4 linked regions of the Alligator mississippiensis genome follow. The protein of the gene in region 1 interacts with the protein of each later gene in a pairwise test. Links are inferred from orthologs where the notes say so. Each region holds a gene or a part of one and is shown on either strand. Other genes may lie near its edges.

Region 1 (6,949 bases):
AGCTATTCTACAACCCATACCCCTGCATGGCTACAACCTATACCCCTGCAGATATCCTTAGATTCTAAGGGTATCTACATATATTCACTCCTGCTGGTTTCTGAGGATGCCCCGAAACCAGGGCCATCTGTGCAAGATGGGTCACATCTTATGCCTTTTTATCTTTTCTAGCGTGAAATCATGATATCCTCCAGCTGTTAAACTGGACTCTGCACTCCCAAAGCCAGTGTCTTGACTACGCTCATATAACAGGCCTGACTGGGTTCAATGCCTGTGATGCTTTCCTCTGGGAGCTTGAGAGTAGCAGCGAGTATACAGACCAGGTAGCCATTTCAAACCAAAGCATTATTTAGTATTTTGCAATAGTAACAAAACATTTAGGGGGAAAAAAGGAATTTTAAGAACAAGAACAATCTAAATACTTATACACTTTATGTGACCAGTGATGTACCACCATCCAGATCTCTTGATGGTAACCTAGACAGATGTAGTTTCTTCAGACAGAGGATGCCCGTTAAGTCTTCATCCTGACTCCCTAATCATATACTGTGTATAACAACTGCAGAGAGCAAGAGATCCTCTCTGGCCTGCCCAAATTTCTTTGTTATATGCACTTCTGGCTTTTTACCCTTCCCGATGAACTAGTTTTGCAGGTTGGCTGGGGAGAAAGTAAAATCTTCAAAACTAGCAGTAGGGCACTGTCCTCTAGCGGCTCTCAAGTGTTTGTTTAGGGCAAACTTATCTTGGGCTATATTTTTGCATCCCTACTATCAAACTGATCTAAACTATACAAAATGATATCATAAACTGCTATAATCTGGTCACCACAGCATTCTGGGACCGTTAGGGAGTAGCTTCAGTTCTATTCAAGGGGCATAGGGTTGATTTTAGCCAGCTACACTGAGGTAAAGCTAGGGGACACTTTGTATCCACTAAGATTGTACAGGGTTAATTTTCCATGTGACTACATGCCTCTTTTGCAGTTTTGACAGAAATGCTAGACCTTTCTTCCCCATGGTTCAGGTCAGGTTTTACAGCCCCCAACTTATACCTGTGCTTTTGTGGCTCCACTGTTATTGGCCTCAAGCTAGCCAGATTGCAATCCTGCCTCTGGGTTGCTGTGCGGCGCTAGTCCAAGGACAGCAGAGGGGGTTATGCAGGAGGAGGCATGGCAGGACAGGGGCATGAAACTTAATGTGGAGGAACCATGGGGGCTCTGGAGAGACAGGGCATTTAAAGCTGATAAGTAGAAGGAAGCTAACACCCCAAATCACGGTTGGGAAGTGGACAGGGACCATGGGGCAATGAGGATGTCCCATTCCTTCAAAGGTCCTTGCTGCTGGTGCTGGTCTATGCTCCTGCCAGCTGTTATGGCAGATAACTTTCCAATAAGGGGTGACTGTACCGTGTCTGAGAACCTGAAGAGCTCCACTCTCAGGGTGAGACAGCACGGCATGCATGGGGGGAAGAAGCAAGCCCAGATGTGGCACTGTCTTAGCTTGCTTTCTTCAAGTTTGGCAGCTGTGTTTCTGGTTGGCTCATCACACCAGTTCCCTCTTCCCTGAACTCAGATGGTGGTGGGGAACCTTCCACAAAAAGACCAGGCTCCAGAGTATTTGTTCAATGTGCTGGTGGCTTGCATGCAGCTCTGTCTTCTCAAATCCTCCTGGTGGCAAACCTAGGCAAAGCAGCACATGGTCCCTGGTCCACTACTGCTGAGCTCCAATTTCTCTCACATGTGCATGCACCCACAGGCATCTCCCTTGCAAGATATGGGGCCCAAGGATAAAGCAGGATGGGTAACCCTAGCTGAATCTCAGCTCTGCCACCCCCCACAGTACAGTTCTACCTGGTGGAGGTCTGTTTTTCTGTACTTTTATTTAAACCAATTGGATCAAGGATTTTGAGTTTTGTGGGACACCTACTTTTGGATCTGGGGCTGAACTAGGCAATCTGAATAGCAGGGTAAAAAGCTCAGTTCTGTGCAAACAGCCACCTGTAGGACCAGAGCCCGGGGCATAGCAACTTCTAGCATGTGGAACAAACACGGTTCCTATACCCTCTCAGTGGTTTCTATGCTGTGAAGACACCACTATTTATCCAGCTTTGACCTAAAAGGGCACATTCCTCTCCCAAAGTCTCACCATCTGCTTTAATGCTTGTGATCCCCCATAATGACAATCTCTATTAAATACTGTGGGCTCTTCATATTAAACATTCTTCAGCTCTAGCAGCTTTTCTGCAGCTTATACGCAGAGCTGAATATTCTCAGCATCTTGCAAGATAAAGCCTTAAATGAGCAACTGGTGTCATTTGTGTTTTGGAATTAAGAACTCAGATTAGAATTTCCTTCATTATGTTCTGAGCTAATGTTGAAGTGCTGCCATTAAATGAGTTTCCAGTAGAAGTGTTGTTGGCAAGAGTCCCTTTAAGGCTGCTGTTGTGAACTGTACTATAGGGACGTGCGCTGTGGTAAAGATGCTCCATATATAATGTTCTCCGTAAACTACGTCTGTAGGTTGGGATCCTGTTGGCTCAGACTCCATAGGGGTCAGGTGTCCAGGTTGTAACTGCATTGGTCTAGAGACGAAAGGAATCAAAACTCATGGCAGAGGAATATCTTTTATTAGAGCGACTAGGCAGGCAAGGTTTGTTGGGTAGATGTGATATCTTTTATTAAACCAACTGAGTAGTTGGAAAAAAAGTTCTTAGCAAGCTTTTGGGCGCAGCTACCCTTCTTCAGGCACAGGGAGCCTCTGCTGGTCTGAGACTCCAAGGAATGAGAGAAGCTAAAAGTGTGGCAGGATGTCAGTGAGAACGTAAATAGGGAGAAATTAGAAAGACAAAAGGTAAAGCAGAGAGAGGAGGAGAAAGGCTAAAGGGAGACATTACAGTGATAGACTACAAGGTGGAAAAGAGGCCGTCTTTGAAAAAGGAAATAGCTGGAGATCAGGGCAACAGGAATGAGAGAAGCTCACAGTGCGAGAGGATGTATATAAATACCTAGAGTGGAGAAACAAAAGGGGAGGGGGAAAAGAGCAGGGGGGGGAAAGGCCAAAGCAAAACATTACAGAGGTAATAAAACAGGGTAAGAAAGAGGCTCTCAAAGAAGAAGGAAATAGTAGGAAATCAGGGAGACAAAGGAAAGAAAAGGAGGGGAGGGGAGAAAAGAGGTCAGGTCAGGCAGGCACCTGTTGAATCAGATGTCAGGCAGTGAAGAGAGGCTTTTTCACAGTCTGTCTCTGTAATGTCTCCCTTTAGCCTTTGTTCCCCCTGCTCTCTTCCCCTCCCCTCTCTGCTTTACTCTTGGTCTTTCTAATCTCTACCCATTTACCTTCTCACCGACCTCCTGCCACACTTCTAGCGTCTCTCGTTCCTCGGGAGTCGCGGAGCAGCAGAGACTTTTGGTGCCTGAAGAAGGGCGTTTGCGCCCCAAAGTTTGCCAAGAACTTTCCTCCAACAACTCAGGTGGTCTAATGAAAGAGATCGCATCTACCCAAGAGCCTTGCCTGCCTGTGTCCTTGGACCAACACGGCGACAACCAAGAACCCTGCGAGTAGTGTTTGCAAAAGCATGCCTGTGCAGGGGCCAGGGGGTGCTCAGCAGACAGATGCCCGGCTCTGGCTCCAGTCGCACGGAGGGTGCAGGTGTAGACTCGGGGCTCTCAGCATCCCTCCGGCCCGGACACGCGTTAGAGCCGGGGCCACCTGGAACAGTAGTACACGATGGGCACGGGCAGGACCCCCGCCGCGCTCGGCCACCGAGACAAAAGGCACGTGCGGCACGGAGTTCGGACGCGCCTGCGCAGTGCAAAAACCTGAAGCTGGAAGAGGGGGCGGGCCCTGACGTGAAGTAACCGCGGCAACAAGACCACGCGCCCGCTCGGGGGTCACGTGGAGCAAGGGGCGGTGCGGCGCGCGTGACGCCATCAGCGCGCGTTGCAGGAGCCCAGATCACGTGGCGCGAACGGCTGCAGGGCTGTGACGCCATCAGCGGGCGCCGGGCCCGTTCCCCGCTGCGGGCGCGGTGCGGGCTGAGGTGTGTCCGCGGGGCGGGGCCGGCGGGCGGGGTGTGTCCGTCAGGGGAGGGGGCTGTGCTCACCCGGTGGAGAGGTGCCCGTTGCCCCGCCCGCGGTGGCTCTAGCCGCCCAGACTGGTCCCCGCCGGCCTCCTGAGCCAGGAGCAGGTGCTGCCTTTGTCCCGGGACAGCTGGTGCCTGGGTTTATCCCGGAGCAGAGATCCCGGGATTGGCCTGTGCCGACATGGACCTTTCCACACAGGCTCGGGTGGCCATCCTAGAGGACAGTCCGGTTTTCTGCTACTCTGCCCTCTCTTGATAGGAAACCCAGCGCCTTATGTCCATTTCAAGAGAAAAATCGAGGACATAACGGCGTCCGGTTTCGTATCAATAGAGGACAACCGAACTATCCTCTACGATGGTCGCCCTAGCTGTCACTTTTGTGCCAGAAACCTGGCATGAGCCTTCAGACGCTGTCCTGGCATTAACTGTTCGTGCCCTTTTGTCCTATGAAGCTCCTGTGACAGCAGGCGCGGGCGTCCGAATGGCGGCACGTTGAGCCCGGATGAAACGGTTCGCCCCTCGACAAGTGGCGTCTGTTTGCGGCCTCCGTGTCGGAGGCTCCCCGCGCTCCCGGTGAAGTAAGGCTCTGCTCTCTCCGCTCGCAGGGAGCTGAGGCGCCTCCCGCTCTCCGTGCTATGCTGCTGACGCTATGGCTCCGAAAGATATCATGACTAACTCGCACGCCAAGTCCATCCTCAACGCAATGAATTCCCTGCGGAAGAGCAATACTCTCTGTGACGTGACCCTGCGCGTGGAGCAGAAGGATTTCCCAGCCCATCGGATTGTGTTGGCTGCTTGCAGTGATTACTTCTGCGCAATGTTCACCAGCGAGGTAGGCCAGGCAGTTGTCGCAAAAGGACTTTGGATCCGTGTCTGTCACGAATGTGGCTGGTGTCTCAAAACCTCCGACTGGGGATCCAGGGGGTTGTTGAGAAAGTGCTCAAGAGACAGGAGTTTCCACCTTGCTAATGTAGGTTTATTCAGCAGATAGCACATGCTCCTATACCTAGACATGCGCTGGTTACTTTGCAAGCGAGTCTTCCTCCGTATCCTTGATATTAGACAATTCAGGGTCTCATTGGGGCATAGTCTAGTCACCCAGCGGTTTAGTAATCCAGCGGCCTCTTGTTCCCAAACTTTTTTTTATGCCTTTTTAGTTGCGTATTTATTATTTTTACCATGACTGTTGCCAAGACTACTGGCCATTTTATAGATTATTTGCCTAATTGAGTTTTCACTATTGGTTATCTTTCTAAAACTCTGTCTGCATAGACACACCAAGGCTGTTATACTTTTCTTATCACACTTTTTTTCTCTTTCTGAGCATCTTCTTATTGTCCTTGACAAAGTTTCTACTTTGACAAAGCTTGCAGCTGCTTTGCTCAGCTTTAACTAGCTAGCGGCTTTTTAGCAAGCTTGCTGAAGTTTAGCAGTGCCTTGCAGAAGTGGCGACTGGCAGTTTTTACTGTTTCATGGCCGTCAGCCTCCTGCTGTACCAAAATGTAGTGTATGCTTCATCCAGCTCTTGCATGTTCTTTGTTCTAGAAAGGATTTTGCTTTCATCTTGAAAGGTTAGATTTTATTATGTGTATTATATAACCAAGTGTTATCCAATTCTACCTGGTTCAAGTGCCAGAAAAATGTTACTGTGCGCACTTGTAATGGTCTGAAGGCTAAGATGACAGACTAAGTCAAAAGAAACTGTGAGCAGGAAGAGGATCCATCCACTTCTTGCATTAACTGTTTTTCAGAAGGAGAGTACAATAAGATCATGTATATTCTTATAGGTAGAATAGGATCTGGCTCTGACTACTCAGGTTATTGAAAGCCTAAGGACTCAAAGCTTTCAAACGAAAAACATTCCCCCAGTGGTCTCGTCATCCAACAGTCTTTCTGATCATGGTATTTACATCATAATAGTAATTAAAGATTTCAAATGGGATTATTATCCTATTATGTTAAGTGCTGTATAACCAGAAACAATGCCTAGAGAGTTTGCAACCTAAATAAATAAGAGTGAGAGAGAGCTGGGTAGGCAACCAGTCCAGAGATGAGTTGCATCTCATTCAATATCATAGAACAGGTCAGTAGCAGAACCAAGAATATAACATTGATCTCCTGAACCCCAGTGTAGTGCTCTCTTGATTAGAAACTGTTGTTTTATTATTTGTATTAGCCTACACTAGCGGTGCCAGATCTAGCACCTATGCTGCATCTGTGTGTGGGCTGGTCTTTGGGCCAAATCTGTCTAGCACAGTGGTTTTCAACCTTTTTTCATTTGTTGAACCCCTTTGGAAATTTTGAATGGAGGCGTGGACCTTTTTGAATTTTAAGTGTGGTATTCACTTGCTTTTGATCATAGTCATCTTTCACGGACCTCCTAGATATAGTCTGCAGACCACAGGTTGAAAACCACTGGTCCCTAGCAGACCAGCCCTGCTTTACTCATCTGGCCCACAGGGCTGGGTGAGTTTGATATTTGCAGTTTACACTAAAGACATGTTCTTGTTCCAGGTCGGGGACGGGCAAAGTCCGGGCTAGATCAGGCCTGCAGCAGACTCCATTTCCTAGGAGCCCCTGGCCACATTGCTGCAACTGGTTTCCATGGAGACCCTAGGAGCAGCAGGGCCATGACAGCGTGGGGCCAGGGTTTCTATGGAGACTGGCCCCAGCAGCCTCCCTGCCCAGCCCATGCACCCTGCCAGTGCTGCTGGGGCCGGTCTCTATGGAAACCCTGGCCTCTTGTTGGCAGAGGCTGCTGGGAAATGGAGTCCAGCTGTTGGCTGGATCTGCCATTTTCCCCATCCCTGTTCTAAGTAGTAAAATGACTTTGGCAGAGCTACAGCTAACATTGATTCAGATGGGTAAA
Region 2 (7,920 bases), on another chromosome or scaffold:
CACAATGCCGGTCAGGAGGTGGAAGGAGCAGTGGCTTAGAGTCCCTTTTGAAGGGTATGAGTGTAATGTCAGGCCAGTCAGATCCTCCCCACAACCAAATCCCACTAAATGGGGGCTAGGGGCGACCGGCCCCCACAGCAGTTTTCCACATATTCCAGGCCTGATCCCTGCCCCTCCAAAGGGACCAGGCCAGTTATCTCAGGCTCAGGGTTCCTGCCCCTGCTCTGCAGCTCTCCCTGGACTGGCCCCCTGCTCCCTGGCCAAGGCTGTGAGTGCCAGGGGAGGCTGTCCCAAGGCAGCCAACTGGCGCTGTCCCCCTGGGCTAAGCCTGGCTCAAGGCTGGGCTGTTAATTCCCCTGAGAATTGCCTTGGCATGCAGAGGGCCAGGCACAGAGCCAGGCTTGTGCGACAACTGAAGCAGAGTTCAAGGGCTGGGTTGTGCATGCTCTGCAGAGCCCCCACCACTGAAGCTTAGTGCGACCCAAAGTACAAGATTCTCACACATACACCACCCCCTGCAGAAGGTCTCCCCTAGACACAGCTATGTGCTGCTTGCTTTCTCATATCATTCCCCCTCTATTCAGAGATCTCTGAATTGAGGTACTGTGATGCTCTGGGCTGGGCCAGCAGCAGAGAGGCCAGAGTTCTGCATGCCTACACCTGCCAGGCTGGGGAACCCCTGGCCCCAAACACAGCCAGCAAGAATCCCAGTAGCAGCTCTGGCTATAGGGGGAGCCTGACCCATTCCCCCAAATGCAAGGCCTATGCTCCTAGACCAGCATTCTTCCCTTCCCTTTCATTTGTAGGGTGACAAGATTTACATGAGCTGAGACTCGAGATGTCCATGTCCAGGTGCCACCCTGAAGCAGAGAGCCCCCAGACTGTCCCTTTCCTACTGCATGACCAGTGCCTTCAGGCTCTTGAGGTCCCTCCACAGTACAGGGCAGAAATTAGTGGCCTCTTCAAGTCCCATACCCCATAGCTGGGCCACAGGGCACAAAGCATACCTTCTGGCTCTCAGTCCCTGGTCCTGTGGCATACAGCAGCTAGGCCCTTCCCAGCAGCAGCTAAATGTTTATACACCTCTACTTCATAGACAGGTGAGGGTAGGAAGACCCCACAAGAACACTCAAGACCCAGCTGCCCCCCCCCCCAGCATGGGGATAATGGGAAACAAAGGCAGCAGATGGTGGCATCTAATGATCTTTGATCTGGAAGTGAAAGCTAGATGCTTCCTTCCTCCACTCACTGGCTTGAAAACTAAACCAGGCAAAGGCCATGGATTAAGAATTTCTGTTAAACGTTTATTCAAAAAACTGAGCATTGGATGGAGATGGGAGAGACGGGGGCCGAGTTGGCAAAAAAGGACTATCCAAAAAAAAAAAAAAAAAAAAATTCCTGTTCCCCCTCCCAGCAGAGGCCCTCCCAGCCCCCTCCCCCACAGAGCAGGATTTTTGGTATCAACTCCCAGAGGGATAGTTTACTTCTTAAAAAAAAGGGATTGGTTCAGCTCTACCGGGCACCCCCAGACGACATGAACCTGGACAGCATAGCCATGGTGGGCAGAGCTGGCGGAGCAGGCACAGCAAAGAGTGCTCCCCAGCAGCAGCCACTACTTCTTGGCCTTGGCCGAGTTGCGCGGGGGTGTGACTGGGCGCCCACCAGGGTTCAGGCCACTGAACTGCCCATATTTGCCCTTATTCTTGTCAGCTGGCTTCAGGATCTGGGGAAGAGAATCGAGTCAAGGAGAGGGCATAGTTTGTTGTACCCCAGACCCCGAGAACAGACTGAGGCACTGGCTAGAGGACAGCATCTCCAGCCTGGGTGGGGGGGACAACTGCCCTCCCCCAAATCACAAGCAGCAGGGTTAGTATTCAGGGTTCAGAGCCCCTGGGAGTCTCTTGAAACCCCACTCCAAGACCCAACTCCTCCCTCATCAAGGTTTTCTACAGGAGACAGGCAGATGCTTGCAGGGTCAGGGGAAGGGAAATTCAACCCTTACCCAGCTCTGAGCCTGTGTCCGTAGGGTGAGAGCTTGGCTCATTGCCATGGTTGCCAGGGAGGGGTGGGGAAGAAGAGCCCTGGCCTGAGGCTCACCTGGAAGGAGCACATGAGGGTCTCATCCACGCTCATCATGGCACCTGCATTGTCGAACTCGCCACAGTAGTTGGGGGCTGAGAAGAGTGTCACCAGCTGGCGCTTGGCAAAGAACTCATAACCATCCTCCACCACCTAAGGCAGAAGGACAACGAAGGGCTTGGCACCAGGACTCAACTTAGCCCTCCCTCTGCCAGATGCAGGGAACCCACACAGGAGCCCTGGCTCTGCCTCCTCCGCTATAGCTCTCTGCCATCCCAACCACAGGCTCTCTTCACAGCTCTGCTCTTCACTTCTGACCCGCAACCCCTTGCTAGCCCACCCCTGAGTTCCCCTAATATGGCTCTATCTCAGGGTACAGGGTACCTGGTGTGCCCGGCAGATGAGGTCCAGATCGTGTTTGTGCAGGAATTTGGCCACAACCTCAGCGCCAAAGGTGAAGGAGACGCCACGGTCGTTCTCGCCCCAGCCCTGCACGTCCTTGTCAGGATCGGACCAGAGCAAGTCACACAGCAGGCCCTGGTCTGGCACATCCGTGGGGCGCATGATCCGCCGGATCTGCTCCATTGATTGCAGGTCAGGGGACAGCCCTGGGAAGAAAGGGGGATAAGGCTGTGAGACATCATACCCCAGCAGGGGGTGGTGCTGATCTGCTGGAGAGCATCCCCAGTGACCCCCCCACAGCAACCCTCTACCCCTACACAGCCCTGCGGAGCCTCTCCCCCCAAACCCCACCCCAGCAGTGCCTCATAAGGGAAAGGACTCCCTCTCCCCCTCCCGATCACAAGGTCTAGAGGCCTGGGCACTGTCCACCTCCATGGCAGCAGAAAATCTTCTCGTCCACAATAGCAGCAATGGGTAAGCAGTTGAAGCAGTCAGTGAATGTCTTCCAGAGCTTGATGTTGTAGCGCCTCTTGCCTGCAAAGCACAATATCTGGGATGGGAGCCTCACCACAGCAGCAGCCCCTTCTGCTCCCACCACCTAAGAGTATCTGCCTTTCCCGGGGTGCACACTCCCTTCTAGGGAGACCCAGGTCAGAGAGTCACATGGTTTGGGCCACCATAGGAGATGGGACAAGCAGCCCCCTCATAGTTGGAAGGCACCACACTTACCACATCAGCTGCCCCCAGAGCACATGCCCACATGCTTGCAGCTGGGGAGTGCACCCTTGTGACTGGGAGTGTGGTAGGGTAAGAAATTTGGTGCACAAGACAGAGATGCAGCTGATACCCTCAACTGCAGGGATGCGAGTATGAGGCACAGGCGTGGTTGATGTTTGCACATTTGCAGTTAGGTGTATGCTCACACCTGGAGGCAGGCAGAGGTTGCAATAGTGGGGGCCCAGGGTCATTAGCACTCAAATGCAGTTGATGCTTGCATACTCGCAGCACGGCCCAGGCTCAGACACAAATGGGAACAGTCATGCGTCCAGGTAGATAGGGGCAGGGGGAGGGGGGTGAAATCACACTCACATTCGTCGTAGAAACCATAGATGCGATTTATGCTGGCGCACTCGTGGTTGCCGCGCAGCAGGAAGAAGTTCTCAGGGTACTTAATCTTGTAGGCCAGCAGAAGGCAGATGGTCTCCAATGACTGCTTGCCCCGGTCCACGTAGTCACCCAGGAAGAGGTAGTTGCTCTCAGGTGGGAAGCCCCCGTACTCGAAGAGCCGCAGTAGATCGTAGTACTGCCCATGGATGTCACCTGGAGAGTGCAGGGGGGAATGGCACCCTCAGTACACAGACCTTCTCCAACCTCCCTACCAGCTACCCAGAGACCCCCAGCCCAGCAGGGAACCTATGCTGTCCCTACCAGCCCTGCCCAGAGATCCCGCATCCTCCTCCCCTAATCCCCCAGATTGCAGCCGGAGCCAGGGGACCACTCTGACCCCCCTACCCTGCCAGCATCAACAAGGGATTCCTAAGACCTGCCAAGACCTCCCACAGGGGAACCCACCACCCCCACAAATGGGGTGAGGGTGGCAATAGGGGACAAAGAAGTGTGTGTGTGGGGGTGGGGGGGCTGCTCCAATCCCCACACCCAGCCCACCTCAGCAAGAGACCCCCAGGACCTCTCGCAGGGGGACCTTCCACCCTTAGGGCTGGACTGGGGGGAGCAATGGAGAGTAAGGTGCAGGTGGGACCGCTCCGATCCCTGCGAACACCAGCCAGGACACGCTGCAACCTCCCGCAGGGGAACCCACTGCCCTAAGGCTGGGGCTGGGGGACAAGATGCGTGGACAAGGGTGGCGGTGGGCCCTGGGGCTCACCGCAGATCTTGAGCGGCGCCTCGAGCTCCAGCAGGATGGGCTGGCTCAGGAAGATCTCCCGCGACTTGAGGCACAGGCCACGGATCTCGTTCTCCGTCAGCTGCACGTTCTTGCCCGGCCGAGAGCCCTGCACTGCAGCGGGGCGGCCCACGGGGGCGGGTCACCGGGGGGGGGGGGGGGGCAGCGCCTCCCCGCCCCCGCACGCACGGACACATGCAGGCGCCCACCCACCCACGCGCGTGAGCACCCACGCCCACCCGAATGCATGTGCACACGCAGCCCTGCCGCCCGCCCCAGGCCCATCCCGGCGCCTGCAGCACGTGCCCCCCCGCCCCGCGGGCTCAGGCGAGCCCCAAGGGGGCCGCCCCTCGCGCCCTGCCTCAATTCCCCGGCCGGGCCCCGCGGCACCTTCCAGCAGGCGGCCGATGATGGAGTCGAGGTTGAGCTTCTCGCCGTCCGCCATGGCTGCCCGGCCCGGCCTGCGCTCCCCCGCCTGCTGCCTCCGCCCCGCCCCGCCCCATCTGCGGGCGGGGCGGGGCGGGGCGGGGCTGGGTCCCCGAGCCGCCAGGCCTCGCGCCCCGCCCCGCTGCGCAGCACCCGCTGCGGCCTGGGGGTGTCCTTGCAGCCAGCCGGCGGGTCGTGTGAGTGCAGGGGTCATAGTGGTCCGGGCTCCCCCGTGGCCGCCGTAGAGGACACTTCTGTCCTCTCTTGATACGAAACCCGACGCCTCTATGTCCTCGAGTTTTCTATAGAGGACGTAAAGGCGTCCAGTTTCGTATCAAGAGAGGGCAGGGGACAACCAGCTGGCCACCCTGCGCCCCAGCCCATCCTCTGGGGCAAGGGGGGCGGGGGGTGAGCAGGGCAACCGCCCTGGGCACCAAAGTGAAGGGGCACTGACAGGTGCTGCTCACCCGGGGCGGGGAGTGGGACGGAGCTGCAAGTGGCTCATTTTGGGGGGGATGGAGGGAGGATGGCTCTCGCCGCTGCGTTCACTCCCGGGCAAGCATTGGGGTGGGAGGCGTGTGCCCCCCAGATGTGTGCGCAGGGCAAAGGCAAACTGCCGCTGTGGGCTTTGCCCCGGGCACCAAACTTCATTGCTACAGCACTGCTCTGCAATGTTGCTGCCTGGTTGCCTCTCTCTCTCTTTTTAATTTTTTTTAATTTCATATTTCAGGTTGAATTTGCCAAATCAGTTCCAAAGCCTATCAATTGAGCCGAACTCAGTCATTCAAATCCATGTGGCGCTACCACTGTATCCTCCATCCCAGACTCTTCAGCCTGAGGCTTCAGATACCCCCAAATCCATTGGCTGGCATCCTACGTACAGGCCCAAGCCCAGAGGTCTTGGGGTTCAGATGTCCCCGAGTCTCGCTTGCCCTTAGGAGGTGTCCACCATTTCTATAAAGTAGGTGTGTAGCCAAGATCATCCCACTGGGAGGCTATAGTGGACTCTCATAAGGTGTCCTGTCCTCAGTGCATTGCACAGGTATGCACCCACCATTGCACACTGCCATTCAAAAGTGATCTCGGCCCCGGCAGCAGACCAGTGCAGGGACTACATTGGATCTTAATCCAGAAGAGGCCTAGTCACCTCTTTCTTCTGGATCACAGCCTCGCAGACTCTTCCGCTCTAGCCAAAAAACTTTAACCTCTGTGTGGTCATACTACCTCAGGTGATTGACAGTGAGGTACTGGAGGCACTGTCAAGAAGCTCAGGAATGCTGGACTTGGGTTGATTGAATTGTGATGGCTTTGTGACTGATGAGATACCTTTTGACTATGACTGTGTTTTGTCAAATTTACTGTGCTTTTTTAAAGATAAAAGTTTCCTATCATCTAGGAAATCAGTGCACATTCCAGCAGTTATACCCTGTTTACTTTTGCTTGGATCTCAAATTGAATACTGTCATACTAGCCCCGTAGCATATTAGTAAAGCTTCTAGTTTCCCTTTAGTTGGAGAAAAAGAGTGTTGTGTTGTATGTGACAATGTGCCACACCACCTGTACCCTACTTTTCAAAATCCTAGATCCACCCATGCCTAGGGCTGCCACCCAGTGTCACTAGGGGTCAGACAGTGCCAGTGCCCAGCAGGAGGCTCCCACCCCCACACCACTGCTTGGCAATGACTGCAGGCACTGCCCACCACTGCTAGTATCCAACACTGCCATGGGGGCTCAGCACCACCCTCAGCACCCCATGTCAATGCCTGGCTCATGATCTTAAGGCCATCACCACCATACAACCCCCTGTGACGCTGTCTGCCTTGCACCCCTGGCACAGTGCCATGTAGGGGGTGATAGCTGTGGGAGGAGCTCCCAGTCACTCCAGTACTGCCTCAGTCAGCAGGTGGAAGGAAAGAGTGAGTGCCCTCTGCCTCGAGTCCCAGGCCCACTGGCTGCTTACTCCTGGGACCTTGCCCTCCTCATGCACTCCCCAGGGTGCCTGCCACCATCCTGTGCCATGTGTCCCCCCCTAGGACGGTTGCCCACACCATGCACTGCCTCTCTAGGGGACCTGCCCCCTCCCTGCGTGCTCTCTCCCATGGGCCCCTGCGCCCCACACACACACTGCCTGCCGCCTCAGCAGTATCAGGTGCAGGAGGAAATGACTTGTGGGAAGGAAATCAGCTTGCAAGGCGCACGCCGGGGCTGAGGTGCCAGCAAGGGACAGACACACGGACACAGCATCCTGCATCAGGAAAGCCCCCCAAGCCCAGCGCAGGGCACGAGTTAGAGGCCAAGGAAGGTGAGTGGGATCCTGGGGAAGACTGGAGCACAGGGTGTCTGGACAGACGCGAGGGGATGTTCTGAGAAACTCCCCAAGCACTGAGTGTAGGGAGATTTAGAGATGAGGGCTTGCCAATAGATGTGGGGGAGCCTGCATGGGTGAGGGGTCGGACACATGCTGCATGGCCAGCAAGACAGCCCCAGCATGTCCCATACACACTGAACACACATAGATGGGGTCCTGTGCTGGGGTGCTGGGGGAAATGGGCGGACCCAGAGAGGGCACAAGGCATGGGATGCTGTGCAAGAAGACCCCATGGGGAATGGCGCCCAGGGTAGACACTGTGGGTAAGAGGCTGCAACACCCCAAACAGAAAGACTAAAGTGATAGGGGAAGGAGGCCCTGTAATGGACAGACCTAGGAAGGGAAGAGGGTGTGAGCTGTGGACAGGCAGGTCTGGAGGGGTGAGGTGCAGGGGCATAGGTGGGCAGGGCCTAGGGGGGCGAGGGGGAGGCTTAGGAGGTGGGGTGTGGATAGTTCCTTTGGGGAGAGAGTGGGGTGGGCTGTGGTGAGAGCCTATGTGAGGGTCTCTTTTGGGTGCTTGGTCCTGGGCTGTCCTGCTCCACACTCACTGTGGCCCTCTCTCCCTCCTGCAGGGTGCTCTCGTGGGCATGGCGACCAGCACCATGTCATCTGCTGACTCCTCCAGCCACAGCACCCTGGAGGACCTGTCGGATGCCTTCAGCTTGGCCCTGGAGCACCATGAGGACTCCAGCTCACTAGGCTCTGACTCTGAGTTCAATGGGGTTCCCCCATACCGCCAGAC
Region 3 (7,783 bases), on another chromosome or scaffold:
GGATTGAGCTGCCCTGGGGACCCCCACTCTGGGACTCCCTGTGTTGGGAATGGCTCAGTTCTCCATCAGCTGCCGCAGGGATCAGAGACCAAACACTGCAGCACTGACTCTTATCTTGCCCCAGCTCCTGGGCAGTTTCAGGCGTTTGGGTAAGTAAGGACAGCAGGATTTGTCCCAGTGTCTGCACTGGGTCATGCTGCAGTGACTCTGCTGTGTGAATTATCACCTCTCTCTTTGCTGCTTGATTCCAGAGTTCAGAAGAGCCCGAGGACACACAGGTGAGTGACCCTGACCCCATATCAGTGACCCCAGAGCCCTCCTTGGAGAACTTTGCTTGCTACAGCCACTGCTCCCACCATCCTGGTGACCTGAAGGTGGGCTTTGTGACCAGCAAGATTCAGTGCATCCCTGCTGCATTCACCCCTCACTGCTCCCAGCCCAGCACACTCTGTACGCCCTGGGCCCTGGACAGGGCTGGTCTCTGAGCCATGTGAGATCCCAGGCCCAGGGTGTTTTGGGATTCTCAGTCGATCTCCCTGGCACTGAGCCTTGTGCAGCAGCTTCTTCTGCTACGGTTGGTCTATTCTGTCCATGCAGTGCCCACACGCTTCCCAGAGCCCAGCAAGTGTCCTGGGCCTGCCTTGGGAGACCTGTGCCTGGGTCTGGGAAGATCGATAGGTCCATCCTTAAGGGGCTTTGATGCCCCAGGTCAGCAATGTGGGGTGGGTGAACCCTGCTCTTGTGAATGGGGCAGGCTCTGCAGGGAGACCTGGTGTTTCCCGCTCTTCACTGTGCAATACTTGGAGGGCAGAAGACCACTGTCCCAGCAGTGCCCCTGGTCTTGTCTGCATGGGGTGTTCTTGGCCCAGTGCATGACTCCAGTGCAAACCCCTGGAACAGATGCACTGCCTGGGAGTGAATGGAGATTTGCCCCTGGGGCAGCTGAGCCCACGGAGAGGGGGCAGTCAGTGGGGAAATGCCCCTAGCCCCCTCAGTAACCCGCACTCAGCAGTGGGCTCTTGTGCTTGGTTCCAGTTGTCTGGGCTGGCTCGAAAGAAGTGAGCACAGCCCAGATGCATGACCCTGCCCGGGGCTCTGTGGAGCGAGCAGTTGGCTCTGCCAGGGCTGCCCTGGCTGCAGAGCCAGCAGCACTTGGCAGACTGCAGCCAGAGGATCAGAGACAGGGCTCCTTTTATTAGACCAACTATTTATTTGGTGTAATAAAAGATATTGGATTTACCCCCAAGACCTTGTCTACCCATGTCCTTGGACCAACATGGCTACAACCAACACCCCCAAGGATGGAGAAACATTTGGCTTCCCAGACCTGAGCAGAGAAAAGGCGCCCCTTGCCGAGGGGCTGGGGTGAGCTGGGGTTCGGCCGAGGGCAGCAACCACAGGGACCTTGGTTTTGCTTTTCCAGACTGGAGGCAGGAGCCACAGTTGTGCCTCTCCCAGAACAGCCGTAGGAAGGAGTGGGGTTACAAGCATCTGTCTCTGACCCTGCTCTTGTAGCCACCCTGGGACTGAGGCCAGTCTCACAAGGGAGGTGGCCTGCAACTGGGCCCCCTGTTCCCCCACAGCCCGGCCCCCATCCACTCCTCAGCCCCGGGAGCAGGGCCTGCCTCTCCCCTGTCAGGCCCCAACTCCAGCTCCCCAAAACGAGCACCTGCCCCGACACACAGACCCCATGCAGGCAGCCCTGGGTTGGGCCGCGCTTGCTGCCTCGTTCAGGGCAGGAAACCCCCATGGCCCAGACCCGCATGCAGGGGTGGCCGTGTGGACAGGCTCCACTTGCAGCCAAGCTGCCTGCCCCAGTGAGGTGTGGGGGGTGCAGGGTGGGCAGCGGGGCTAGCCCCAGTCCTGGCCCTGCCTGCAGGTCCTCCTGGGCACAGCAGAGGTGGCTCCTGTGTGAGCACCTGGGGCACAGGAGCAGCAGCTCCTCTGCCCTTATGTGGGGGCAGGTATGTGGGCTGGGGGCACTTAGGGAGTTGGGGAGATCGGGGGGTGGGGGTGCTGCTGGCCCAGCTCACCCAAGCTCCCTCCAGCACAAGGAATTGTCCCCCCTGCCCTAGACACTCCCTGACTGCAGGGACGGTGGGCTGGGCAGAGGTTTCTTGTATCCAGATGAGTGGCAGCAAGCAGAAGTGGTTGGGGTTGTGGGAAGGGTTTTGCTCATGTGGGGCTTGGCAGGAGGCCAGGCTCAGCCACATGTGAACAGCCGCTTCTTTGGACAGCACTTACTAGGAAACTGGGACCCAGAGGGTTCTCTTGGCAGAGCTTCAGGGCCTGGCGTGTGCTTGCGGGGCCTTTGCTTGGCACCTGTCCTGGGGACAGTGGGTCTTGCCTTGGCACAGGGGAAAGCCCAGAGGTGAAGCTCATTCCTCTCCCTGGCCGGGGATTCCAAACCCATTTAATAGATTCATAGACTGTAAGGCTGGAAGGGACCTCGGAAGATCATCGGGTCTAGCTCCCTGCACAAGGCACTCTGGAGCCAGGGGCGCCATTCACGGGGGAGGGAGGACAGCAACTCTCCCAGGGGGGGAAGGACAGGGAGATGAGCAGGGTCAAGGGAGGGGGAGCATGGAGGACCCACCTTCCAAGCGAAGGAACTGCTTCTTTCAGCCTGGTCCTGAAAAGCACAAGCATGAGGAGGCCCCTGGAGCCCGGCCATTGCTCTGCTGGATGCTGAGGCCACAGAGCGTGACCCTAAGGAAGGGCAGTTACCACTGTATAGGGAAGGGCCCAGGAGGGGAGTGGGTGCAGAAACTCCTCAGTATCACAGCCGAGGGGCTGGGCTCCTCCAAAGGCTGCTTGGAAGGAGACACTGCTCTGGGATGAGGCCATGGGATAGGACAGCCATGACCAGGAGGAGCAGGGCCAGCGCCTGCCCACTCTGCTGAGTTGGCACATGTTTAAAAAAAATCTGGATTTTTTTTGCTTGGATCACTTGATCCCAGCTGACTTCCTGCCTATGGTGAGGGGGGGGGGAGGGGGGGGGCTGGACTTGATGATCTTATGAGGTCCCTTCCAGCCCTTACTGTCTATTCATCTATGACTCCCAGCTGGCTGGTGAAGGCCAGGGTACTGGGACACTGGTAGAACAGCTCACTGGAGAGCAGGACCTGCAGCTCAGCCACTCGCTGCTATGTGAGCTGACACACACACAGTGGCTCTCAACCAAGGTGCCATGGCAGGTGTTGGGGGTGCCACACCGTGTTAATGTTCTTACGTATGCAGATACGAATTGCAAGATTAACCCAGAGTTTTCAGCTAGAAATCCAGTGTTCAGATTCATAGGTGTTAGGGTCCGAAGGGACTTCAGTACATCATTGAGTCCAACCCCCTGCCCTGGGCAGGAAAGAGCGCTGGAGTTAGATGACCGCAGTCAGGTGCATGTCGAGCCTCCTCTTAAAGACCCCCAAGGTAGGGGAGAGACATGTTAGAGATGTCTTGCCTGCTGCGGCCTTTCTGAGTTCTTTGCAACAGAAGAATTGCTCTATTCTTTTTCCAGACTCAAAAAGGGAATTAAACCAGAGCTGGCCTTTTCTGAGGGGCGCCTTGAGTCTAATGAGAGATGCCTTGAGTGTAAAAAGGTGGAGAACCAGTGCAGCCCCAGACCCTGCAGAGACTGTGCATGCAGGGAGGGCTGGTGTTAACTATTCCCCTGCCCTGGCTCGCTCTGCTTGGGCCCCTGTCTCATACACTGGCAGCTCTGCCCTGCCCTGCCCTGCCCCTGCAGTCAGGAAAAGATAAACTTATTTGTAGCTGCTGTTCCCCAGGAGCAGTGGAGCTGGAGCCATGGCTGTAGGGAAGCTGGCAGGGAGGTTCCAGGCAGAGGTGACTTGCTCCATGTGTTTGGACTAATTTATGGATCCGGTGATGACTGACTGTGGGCACAGCTCCCCACGGTGGGGCAGCTCTCCCAGAGGCAGGGTTCACGTGTGGGACCTTACCTCAGCCCTGCATTTCCTTCCTACGGTTCATCTTTCCGTAGGTCGGGAGTACGTGCTCTGGCTCTCAGGGTGCCAGTTAAGCAGTCGCCACTTTCTCCACCCTGGAAGTGAATGAGGCACCGGCCGGCAGGCCCGACTCCTGTGTGCGGGAGGTCCCATGGGTGATGGGGGTGTCTCCTGGGATGCTCCCCATCATCTCCCTTGGCCGACGCCGGCTTGAAAGTCTCTGCACGAAACACTTCTTCCATTCTTAGATCCTGGGACAAACCCAGGCCTGGTGAAAGCCCAAGACCAACAGGACACGCAGCCCTTTGAGGCGATCTGTGCCTGTGGGTTTTACGCCGGGACCCAGGGCCTTACAGATCCCGAACCTCTGGTCAGGATTTCAGCCCCTTTGGTTCGGGGTGTGATCTTTTCTCTAGATCAGTCTGTCTAACGTATCTCACGTACATCTGCTGACAGTCCAGGGCCAAGAGCAGCACGGGGCAAATTCATGCCCCACCTCCCTGGGGGCACAGCCCTCATCACCCCGCCCCCGCGCGGGTAGCCACTGACATCTGGCGGGAAGGGGGCACCGAGCCCTGCGCATGCGCGACGGGAGCCGGGGGCTCAAGCTCTGCCCCATGAGAACTTCAGCGTGTGGGCGCCTACAGCACTGCCTGATCCAAACCGGCGTGAGACGCGGCCGCCCCGCGGACTCTTCTCACACGCGGCCGCACACCGACATGCCCCTCAGAGGGCGGGGGATGGGGGGGGGCCCGTCGCAGCGGTGACGGGGCGCATCAGGCGCGCCGCTAGCAGCCCCATTTGGCCCCGAGTCTTGAGGCCCCCGTCCCCACGTCACGCATGCGCAGAGCGGTGTGCGCCGCAGAGCAGCCGGTGCGGGGAGTCTCTCGCAAGCAGGTTCGGACTTGGGCTTGGTGGGGACCCGGAAGCGGCCCGTGGGGACCGGAAGTGAACCCCGTTTCATTACCAGGGACACCGGAAGTCACCCAATTTGAGATAAGAAACCGGAAGTCATCCTTTTTGACCGAAAGTCGCCCCCTTTTGACCGGAAGCCCCATCTCATTCCTCACGCGCCCCCTCTTTTTGAGTGGGTGGGACCGGAAGTGCTACCTTCTCTCTGGCCGGAGCCCCCAGCACGGAACCGCCTTTTCTTTCCGTAAAGTTGCCCGATTTTTTTATGGACGGGAAGTGGTTCTGCGCCTACCGGAAGTGACGTCCTGGGCAGGAAAGGGGGCGTGGCCAGGTGTCTGTTGGGCCTCTCCCCTTCCTTTCCCCCCCTCCCAGCCCTAGGAGCTCTCGGTGGGTACCTGCGCGTGTGGGGGAGGGGTGATGGGGGTCTCGGTCCCCCCCCCCCCGCCCCGCGGAGGCGGGGTTATACCCTCCCTGATCCCTCTGTGGGCAGGTATAGCCGGCCTTCTGCCCCCGCCCCCCCTGCAAGCCTGGTGAGGAATGGGGTAATTCGGGTCGGGGGGGTGCTGACCCGTCCCTCCCCCTTCCCAGGGGGGAACCAGGAGGGTCGGTGGGAGGTTCAAGGTCAGTCGCTATAATGATAATATAAGGAGAAGTGTGTATTTAGGCATCATGCCCAGTGTCTTTAATGTGTTGGCAGCCTGCTGGGCTGTGCCAGCGCTCCTGCTGGGGCTCAGCCCCGGGGTCCTGGCTAGAGGGTCTTCCCCTTTGTTCGGGGTCGAGCCGACGCTGTGTCAGGAAGGAATATTCCCCCCGATCGGGCTGGTGGGGACTGGGCGTGGGGGGGGGGGGTGTCAGCCTCTGTAGTGGGGGGTGCGGCCCGTGCCTGGGATCTCTTGAGTGATTGTTAACAACCTGTTGCAGACAGAGGACGTTGCTGCAGTCCCCCTGCTTTCCCTGTGGCAGGTTCGGGTGTGGTCTGTGCTGTCAGGGTTGGTGGTCGTCTTACGTTTACCTGAGTTTACCTGATGGATTTGTCTGAGCTGGTCGCGCCAGGGCTGACCCTGCCTCAGGCTGGGGGTTGGACTAGAGGTGACAACTGGAGGTCCCTTCCTGCCCCACTTCTCATGATTATGCCCCCTGGAGACTCCTTCCCGTTCTGCATCCCTAGGATTTCTGTGATTCTCTGAATTATCCAAACCCTCTTTGTTATGCGTAGGAAGACTGTGGGCCTGGGCTCCTTGCTGTACACGAGGGACTGTAGGCCCATGCAGAAACTGCTAGCCCTGTCTCCACTTCGACCTACTAGGTGCTTCAGAACAAAATTGGTGGGAGAATCAACGAGAAAAAACCAGGGTGGGAGTTGGGGGGGAGGGTGGAGGCCTACAGCCTATAAAATTAGGCTGTAGGCTAATTTTGAGGGCTCCAAGGGGGCACTAGCCCTTGAAGAAGCCCAAGAAGCCAGTGGGGGTCACCCGGTGATGCTCTGCCTGGAGATGTGTCCTAGTGAGGACCAGGAAGACGGCCCCACAGTCATCAGGGTTCCTCCTACAGGCATGTCTGTTATGTGCGTGGAGTTGTGGCCTGGGCCCACCAAGGGAACCACACGCTTCCCTTAATTAGGGCAGTTGATAGGGCAATGGTTTTCAAACTGGGGGGCGTGAAGGAATGTTGGGGGAGAGAGGGGCAGGCAAGACGTTTGCAATGAGCCGGCGCTGCTGCAGCCTCACAGGGATGCAGGGGCAGGACGCCCCAGACAGGCTCTGCCAGCAGGCTGCTGCGACTCTGGGAGCCTGGCATGGCAGGTGTGCAAGGTAGAACTTCAGTGGGGCCAAGGCAGGAGGCACTGGAGCTGCAGCAGGTGGAGTCTGGCCCCCCCGAACCCAGTGGCTGTTAGGCTGAGGGGCACCCTGTGCCTGGTTGTGCTGCTTCCCTGGGTTGGGGTGGGGGCATGAACAAAACTGTAACTCAAAGACAGGCTTTTCTCGAAGTTTACTGCAATAGGGGCACAATAATTGATTCCTTGGCACAACTAATGCAGAAAGAGGGACAGAAGTAGGGGTTGGAGGTTGACAACAAGTGCTCCAAGGCGGGGTAGGGGAATTAAACAGGCCTTTTTGCTTTGCCAAGAGGATTGTGGGCCAGTGCCTACCAAGGAAACTTTAAGTCCCCCTTAAGAAAGGAGGGGGAATTATACAGAAGGGAAGGATTTCTTAGGGGGCCTCGTAAGAGACCATGAGAGGTCTGTCTTCCTTATGATCCTATAAGTGATAACGAGTTAATACATGAAGCAAGGATTTCCCTAGGGTGATCTCTCTTATTGCACCGACTGCAGGGTGGAGTTTGATAGGCTTTCGAAAGCAAAACTTCCTAGTTTGGGTTTGAGCAGGAAAACATTTCAGCATTTGCTGCCTTGGCTTTATATCTGTCAGTTTCAAGCCCTGAAACTGACTAGTGCTTCCCAAACTTTTCCTTGGTATGACTCCATTTATGGCCCCATTTCCTCAACATGCCGCCCCTGCCCCAAACCCACAGGTCCCCACCCCCATGACCCCATCTGCTGATTTTGTGACCCTACTTGGGGTCAGAACCCACAGTTTGGGAACCACTGGACTAGGCCCTCTTGATAGCAAGGCTTTTAATGCTGCCTTTGAAACTGACTTGATCTGTCAGTATGCAAGCCACACACCAGTCCTGAAACTGACTAGATTTTGCCAATATCAGGGCTTTTGATGTGTCCCCTGAAACTGACTAGATCTGTCCCTATCCAAGCTGCACCTACCTGTCCTGAAACTCACTAGACTCTGCCAGGACGGTGGCTTTTAATACAGCCTGTGCAACTGACTAGATCAGTCAGTAGAAGGGTCCTAATAGGGATCTGAAACTGACTAGGCCCAGTGGATATCAGGGCT
Region 4 (7,531 bases), on another chromosome or scaffold:
ATACGAATTGTTGTTTCTCCCTGGGAGAAACGTTACAGTCTTTGCATTCTCCTATGCCCGAGGAAGGGCGCATGTGCCTGAAAGCTTGCAAATAAAGGAAGTTGGGGTTTTTGCAACTGTCTAGTTGGGCTAATAAAAGATATCGTCTCTACCACACTGACTGCTTGCCTTGGCAGCGCTCTCAGAGGAGGCGGAAGGAGAGAGGCCGAGGGGACATCCCAGATGGCCAGAGGCCTGGACCCAGGCTGCAAGCAGTGCCCTGCCCTGCTGGAAGCCAAAGGAGACCCCTCGCTTTCCTGGGCCCCCTGCCCCTCCTGTCCCACCTGCTTTACCCCCTACTAGTAACCTCCCCCTGCTGCCTCTGGCACCATTGTGGGGCCCAGAGCAGGCAGCCTTTGGCTCACCATGCTGCATCAGTCATGGGACAGCACCAGCACAGCCTCAAAAGAAGGGGCTTAAAAAAAAAAGCATTCCTTTTTTCTTTTTAAACCAGCCTCTTTTTTTTCTGCATCCCGGTTTCCGAGCTCCTGTCCTCCCGCTCTGTCTGGCAAGGCCTAGAGGCTGCTGCAAACGCTAAATAGGGAGAGTCCGGGGATGGAAATGCAAGAGCTGGGCACTGTGGAGCCTGCCTGCATGGCACTACCCCAGCTCGCCATGGGAGGGCACTGGGCACAGCTGTAACGGGCACAGGAGTTGTCCGGACAGTGCCCAGGTATGCACCCAGCCTTTGCAAGGGGCACATGCAACATGCAAAGCCATGGCCCAGGGGAGGTGATGTACCTCGCCACACATGCATCATGCACACATGCATAGGTGTGCACACATCTGCAGATGCTTCTCTGCACCTAGAACTGGAACCCGAAGTATCCTGGACCGGTATCTGGCTTGGACACTCGCCCAGGCCAGCCCAGTGGCTTGGATCCTCTGTATCCACTGCAGCTCTGTCTTTCCTTTACTTCTGGCCATCGCTGGCCATCCTGGGAGCCCTCCTGTGTAGGGCAGGACAGAGCTGAGCCCCTGCTCTGGGACCAGAGACCGAGGCATAGGTGGGACTCTGCTCCGCTGTGCCTCATGGAGCAATGTGCCAGAACACAGTGGTGGCTCCTAGACCTTCCTCCCGGCTGATGGGATGCCTACGGTCTTTGCTGCACAGGCCAGGGTGGAGTAGGGCCTGCCCACCCTGTGCCCTGCCCTCCAGCTCTGCCAGCACCCTCCAGGAGTGCTCCGGGCTCACGGGGGTTGCACTCCCTCTTCGGCTGGCCTGGCATGGCAGCAGCAGAGCTCACAAGGGGTTAATCATTCCAGTGCCTAAGTGGCTCCAGATGTGCTGGAATGACTGGGGTGACCGGAAGTGCTGCTATTCGCATTCACACTGGAGCGTGCAGCTGCTCCCACCAAGGCACCAGGCAGGAAGGGCCAGCTCTGGGGGGAGCCCCCCAAAGCCTGGAGGAGAGTCAGGGATGCAGTTCAGCCCCCATCTCCCTGCAGACTCATGGGATCGTCCCAGAGCAGAATGGGCACAAGGCTCCTGTGCCCCTGGCCTGGGGGCAGCATTAGCCGCCAGGACGGCAGGAGAGGTGGGGACCAGAGCTGCCCACTGCCGTCGCACTGGGGGGCTCTGGGTTGGCCCCTCTGGGATGCCTTCTCCCCGCACCCCTGGGGCCCACCACTTGCTGCGATAACCACAGCCGCGGGAACCAGTGTCTCTGCACGGTGACAAGAGCTCGTGCATCAGGGCCTCATGTTGCATCAATGCCCACCCAGGCAAAACAGTCCAGGTAGCAGCCCCAGGCACCTGGCGGCAGCTCTCCTTGAGCCCCTGCCCTCAGCCAGGGCTCGAAATGGCCCCTGTGAAGCCATGCCGGGTGCTTGTTCCCACTGTGCCAGCCCCATGGGTGCTAGTGCCCCTGCCGCCCTGCTGTTCATCCCCACTGGCTAAATGAGCAGCAGATGCTGGCATGACTTACAGGGTGAGCATATGCTGCTCCGTGCCCCCCTGGCTAGTGATAGGGCCTCTGACATCTGTCTCGCGGCCTGAGGCTTAGACCCCCACCTCATGGGGAGGAGAATCACCCGGGACAGCTCTCTGCGGGTGCAGCTTGGCGGAGCGGAGAGGAATCGCCCTTTATTTAAGGAGCCGGGGGACTGGCAAGGCCCAGGTGCAGCTCTGGCATCTAGAACGGGTGCAGGCAGAGGCCAGGAGCACCTTAGGCCCTGTGGGCACTGCTGAGCTCAGCATCCCTGCAGCAAACCCCAGAGCTCGGACGTAACTAATCCCTCTGAGCATCACGGCTGGCCGGAGGTCTCTTACACCGGAGCAAAGGGAGCTAGCGAGAGCAGGCAGCCTCTCTCCTCCCACATACGTGGCTTACTCCAGGCTCCCCGTGTCCTGTCCCGCAGCGCCCGTAGCCCAAACACCCTGAGTTCCTAAACAACGTGACCTTGGACAGGCACGAGGGATGCAGCAACAAGGACTCGGAGCAGTTTGCAGCATGCACCAGGCCCTCCTTAGCACGACTTTTTCCTCTACGATGGCTACGATGGCAAGCCCTTCCCAAAGCCCCAGGGTAACAGCCCCCTGCCCTCCTCCAGAGGGGCCTCAAGACCCTGCTGCCTTTGCAAGGGATGGCTGTGGGGGCACACCTTGGAGACCCCAGCCTGCCCACAGGACGGAGGTGACCCCAGGGTCTTGGTACCGGGCAGCTGTCCCGTCAAACGGCTTGTGGCTAAAGACGAACAGCCCCCACCCTTTCCGTCCTGCCACCCCACAGGGTTGGCCTGCAGCAGCTGGGGAGAGGTTTGAGACTGTGCCTGCACCCCGAGGGCCCTGGGTCCGTACCTCCCAGCCTCTCCCCCCACCACTCAGCATGCCGCGAGCAGCTTCCCATCTCAGAAAGGCCCCCAGGACTTGTCTGTCTCTGCAGCCCCTTCTCTGCACCCAGTGCGGGTGCTCCGAGGGCCTTTCCTTGCCTCCAAAAGGAATGAATCCCCAGTGCAAATAGCAGGGCAGCCTGTGCAGGTCCCTCGACGCTGCTCCATGCCACATTTCGGGCTTGCCACCAGCCCATTCACCTCCACAAGAGCCTCCCGCACGGCTGCCCCTAACCTGGGCTAACCCTGCACCTCACACCTCTTGCTCCCTTCTATCACGGGCACCGAAGGATGCTGTGCAAGCACAGCCCCATTGTATGGTAACAGCTCGGGATTTCCCATGGACAGTTCCTCCCCCTCTCCCATCAGCAGTCTCTGGATAAGCCGTCTCCACTTGGTTTTTCATCAAGGAGAGGAAGAAGATACTGAGATAACTAGAGATAAGCAGCAACTTCTGAAACCACCGGGGCTGGCGACTCATCCGCCGGCTCGACTGGAAACCATCCACCTAGCAAAGTAAAATGGTGCCTCCAAGCTGCCCTTCGCCTAAGGGGCACGCAGCCTGTACCCAGTCTGCTAAATATGTTTGGAGAAGGGCAGGGGATGCTTTAGAAAGGGCTTTTTGGCCCGGGGAGATGTCCTGGGACAGCGTTGCCAGCACAGCTTTGTGGGGTTCTCCGCCAGGACGCTCCTTCGGGATTCAGAGCGTCGTTTGGCGTCCAGTTTGAGACATGGAGAAGAGTTGTTTCCAGATAGAGAAACCTAAGGCAGAGCACAGGGTGATTTCCCCGGGGTAACGACATGCCAAAGACCCGCTGGGCCCAGGGGCCATTAACCTATGCTGGACCCAGGTGAGCATTTCCCAGGTCGGCTCAGTGGGTCGTCACATGCTTGCAACATGTTTTTATTGTCTGGGCTTTCCCAGGATATCCTGGTGAACCCAGGGCCTGAAACCAGCTCCAGGGAGCCAGAAACTCACCCACAAAAGGTTCTACTAAGCCAGAAACTCACCCAAAAAAGTGTCCAGATATGGCATCAAGCTGCCAGAGCCAGAGAGGTGCAATAGGTTAATCCCCATGTAGACAGACCCCTGCGCCGGGGCGCTCAGGGAAACCCCCCGCATTTTTGCAAATTCATCTCCCTTCACAAAGCTCAGGGTGCACATCCAGACTCAGATCCAAAGGGCCTTTGTTTGAATCCAGTGTCCACATGGGTTCCCGGTGCCGGGGGGCTAACCCGCGCCCCACCGGCAACTCGGACTCCTTTGCTAGCCCTGGTCCCTGACCCTGGAAGAATGTACTCTCCTTCCTCACTGGGCTGTGCCAGCAAAGGAGTCGTTGTGGTGGGCTGTCGAGCCCGCGCGCAAGGGGCTGCACACCTAAGGGGCCGGGTGGCTGCTGGAGAAACACGGCGGCCGGCCCAGCCTGCTGCCAGGGGCTCAGCCTGCACGGTGCCAGCTCCAGCCAAGATCCGAAGGGAATGTGTGGAGTCAGTTGAGCACAGGCCTTCTCGAATAAAAACATGAGTCAGCTGCTGGCGTGGGCAGCGGATTCTCTAAACATCCCCTCATATCCTGAGAAAGGGGAAAAATGGGAGGGGGGCTGGAAGCCAGGGAAAAAGAAAAAAGGAGGAGGCAGGGAAAAGAGCCAGAATTGAAAGCAGACGCGGAGAGCAGAGCTAGAGCCAGCCCAGCCCAGGGAGGCAGGGCAGGGCAGGGGCTGCTCCCCGGGAGGCGGCTCGGACCTGCCCCTTGCGCTGGATGCTCCAGGCAGGACAGAGCTCGGGGGCAGCCCTGGCCAGACGGGGAAGGGCTCCGGCCGCACAGGCTCCAGGTAAGGGCGTTTGAGTGCCCCCTCGCCCCCCAGCCCTTGCAGTTAAATCCCTGCGGCCATGCAGCTCCCCAGGTTTGGGATTGCAATGCGGAAAGGGACCCTGCTGTCTGCCCAGGCTCCAATGCAAGTCCCCAGGGACTGTGATGCAAGTCCCCAGGGAGTTGGCTGTATAGGGGGAAGTGGGTGACCCTGGGAGGGGGCTGGGGGGTTGCACCCAGAGCTGGGCAGAAGGGGCAGGCAGCCCCGAGTGGGACAGAGGCAGCAGGGTGCCACCCCGGGGTGAGAGCCAACCTCCCCTCTGCAGGGCTGGGGTGATGGGGGAAGCCAAGGGGTTTCTGCCCCGCTTCCTGCTCCTGTCCCAGTGCCCCCCGCTGTGCCAGGTGCAGTGGGGGCTGAGGGCAAAGCTGGGGGGGCACTGGGACTCTGTGCTGGGCATCGGTGCCTTGGCCCAGGCTCTGCCTCTTAGAAAGCAGCTCTGAGGGTGCCCGGCTGGCGAGTACTGCGCTGACCCCCAAGGCACTTAGTCAGGGCCCCGTGGGAAGGCGGGGCTGTGCTTGCTCCCCAGAGCAGGGTGGCACCCATGGGAGAGCTCCTCAGTTGTGCTCTTTGGTCTCTCCGCTGGCCCCACAGCAGATCCCCACGAGGGCAGTGACAGGTCTGCAGGGGCCCTGGAGGGAAGTGAATGCTGGCAAGCCTCGGGTGCTCACTCTAGGAAGAATTTAAGCTTGTGTTTGGGTCCCACTGACTGCAACGTGAGGACGGCTTCCCTGTGCAGACAGGCGTCCCTCTGCCCAGGACGTCCATGGCATCATTCAGTGGGACCTTTGCAACCCCGGCTACGTCCATCCTTGTTTCATGTGGCCCTCGGCATGCGCCTTCACGTGAACGACTGCTGTGCTTGCATTAGCCAGGGAGGCACAGAACCGCGCCTCCCTGACTTGAAATTTGCCCCTTGCAGCGTCCAGGTGAGCCTTAGCGGATAACGTCCCCATGGAGGGGAACGGGGCAGCTCGGGTCTCTGGTGGAGCTGCAGCTTGAGGCTCAGGGTAATCTTGGGGGGAAGCAGCTGGAGCAGAGCTCTCGCTGCTGCCGGGACCTGAGAGAGCTCCTTCCCGAGTAGCCTGGATACGTGCAGCATGGCCAAGTGGAAGGTTTCTTTCACAGCCATCAACCTCAATGGAAAGCTGTGTTCTGGTGAATTTTAGGCCACAAAAGCCCATCAAGTCGGGGCAAGAGCCCCAAAGGAGGCTGAGCCATGCGATGGGACCTTGAATGAGTTAGTGCTTCTGAGCCCACTCACGGGAAGGGGCCCGGATGCACTGTCCAGCTTCCTCTTGGAGGGGATTATTCATCCAGCCGGGACTTTTCGCAGGGGAGCTTTGCACCTTTGCTGTTTGAAAAGACAAACCTTGAGTGGAAGCATTTCCCAGCTCAATGGGCGAGGAAAAGGCTCTTCTTGCACCCAGCACCCATCCAGCATCCCAGCGTGGGTGGCCTGTGCTAAGCAGTGGGGTGTTTCTGCTCAGGTGGGCAGCAGAGAAGGGGTGAATGGTATTGCCGTTTGAATTTGGTCCTTAAGGACTGAGGGTAATCCTCTGGGGAGCTGAATGGACGGCATTCGGCGGTCACCCGCCCTAGGACGGGCGCAGCGCTGCACAATCCGTGTTTCATTTGCAGTTGTGAGAGTGAGAAACTGAGGCCAAAGTTTTCCGAGGAGGTGGGTGTGTTTGAGTGCCTCCAATTTGGGGGCACTCAGCTGAAGATAGTTGTTGATGGTTGTCTTGTGTAGAGCGTAGATTATGGTTTTTATGGGATGCTTTGGATAGGGGTGATCCTGCCTGAAGCAGGGGGTTGGACTACACTGACTTCGGGAGGTCCCTTCCAGCCCTGCGCCTGGGAAAACCAGCCTGTTATACCCTGAGTGCTGAGCATCTCTCTGACATCCGAGTCCCTTGCTGAGGTCTGTATCCAAAATCAGAGACCCCCCCAGTCATGCCACCGCAGGGAGTCGTGGTCCCACATGCTCAGTGGGTGGAAACCAGGGGTTTCTGCAGACCTCACCTGCTCTGCGCTCATTGCCTGTGTGCACACACTTATCCCACCAGAAGTGGGAGCTCAGCCATGGTGACTTCTCTTCCACGCAGGGTAAGGGACCACACAGCTTGGCTCCCTCTCGGGGTAGGTCTGAGCATGCAGAGCTATCACCGAGCAGCTGCCACACGAGAAGTCCCCGTCCCCCCGCCTGTCAACTATCCCTATGTCCAGGTACTAAGTGAGAGCTGGCAGGGCAGGGGGAAGGCTGGGAAGAGCAGCAAGCAGTGCCCCGGTTTCCCACGTGTCCCCAGAGCCATGGGAAAGGAGGATGGTGTGCAAAGAAAGGTCTCCTGCCTGAACTGTCATCGGGTGGTGAATCTGAGACGATACACAAGGTGCAGGCAAGCAAGAGGGAGTCCGGCGGGAAGCAGCAGGAGGGATGAGAGGTTTACGAACGTGTTAAAAAAAAAGGGTGAAGGAACTAGGCTCCTTTAGTCTAGAGAAGAGAGGACTGATATGAGAAGTCTCCTTCTTATGTAAAAGGTTGTAGAGAGGACAGTGAGCTGTCGTCTGGGATTTCCATTTTGGATGCTTATCTTGCTGGGATCCTGTGACTCCGGCTGACTTCCTGCCCTTTGGGCCAGGGGCTGGACTCGATGATCCTCCGGGGTCCAGCCCGAATGTCTATGAATGTATGACAAAAAGAAATCATTTTATTTGCAACACAGAAGATTTAGGCTGGATGTCGGAGAAACATCCTCAGCTAGAGAACCTGGACCCTTCCTCCTTGGAGG

Evidence for each region.
Region 2: the proteins of KLHL12 (region 1) and TBC1D10C interact in binary tests that used the Homo sapiens proteins (3 or more experiments, as listed by UniProt). The two-hybrid records come from large-scale screens. The link is inferred for Alligator mississippiensis from reciprocal best matches to the Homo sapiens genes KLHL12 and TBC1D10C.
Region 3: the proteins of KLHL12 (region 1) and BAG6 interact in binary tests that used the Homo sapiens proteins (3 or more experiments, as listed by UniProt). The two-hybrid records come from large-scale screens. The link is inferred for Alligator mississippiensis from reciprocal best matches to the Homo sapiens genes KLHL12 and BAG6.
Region 4: the proteins of KLHL12 (region 1) and PDGFRB interact in binary tests that used the Homo sapiens proteins (3 or more experiments, as listed by UniProt). The two-hybrid records come from large-scale screens. The link is inferred for Alligator mississippiensis from reciprocal best matches to the Homo sapiens genes KLHL12 and PDGFRB.

What each region holds. Positions count from the first base shown.
Region 1 is NC_081837.1:33,121,360-33,128,308, reverse strand, and holds the start of KLHL12 (kelch-like protein 12), read left to right. Parts: upstream 1-3,948; 5' UTR 3,949-4,038; intron 4,039-4,532; 5' UTR 4,533-4,729; coding exon 4,730-4,912; intron 4,913-6,949. UniProt on the Homo sapiens protein: Substrate-specific adapter of a BCR (BTB-CUL3-RBX1) E3 ubiquitin ligase complex that acts as a negative regulator of Wnt signaling pathway and ER-Golgi transport.
Region 2 is NC_081825.1:176,231,132-176,239,051, forward strand, and holds the start of TBC1D10C (carabin), read left to right. Parts: upstream 1-4,920; 5' UTR 4,921-5,007; intron 5,008-5,540; 5' UTR 5,541-7,112; intron 7,113-7,750; 5' UTR 7,751-7,765; coding exon 7,766-7,920. Other genes in the region: PPP1CA (serine/threonine-protein phosphatase PP1-alpha catalytic subunit), read right to left, coding at 1,613-1,723, 2,098-2,232, 2,464-2,687, 2,911-3,015, 3,571-3,801, 4,367-4,498, 4,775-4,829.
Region 3 is NC_081834.1:58,568,963-58,576,745, reverse strand, and holds the start of BAG6 (large proline-rich protein BAG6), read left to right. Parts: upstream 1-4,777; 5' UTR 4,778-4,859; intron 4,860-5,172; exon of another isoform or gene 5,173-5,261; intron 5,262-7,783. UniProt on the Homo sapiens protein: ATP-independent molecular chaperone preventing the aggregation of misfolded and hydrophobic patches-containing proteins.
Region 4 is NC_081832.1:75,044,852-75,052,382, reverse strand, and holds the start of PDGFRB (platelet-derived growth factor receptor beta), read left to right. Parts: upstream 1-4,525; 5' UTR 4,526-4,703; intron 4,704-7,531. UniProt on the Homo sapiens protein: Tyrosine-protein kinase that acts as a cell-surface receptor for homodimeric PDGFB and PDGFD and for heterodimers formed by PDGFA and PDGFB, and plays an essential role in the regulation of embryonic development, cell proliferation, survival, differentiation, chemotaxis and migration.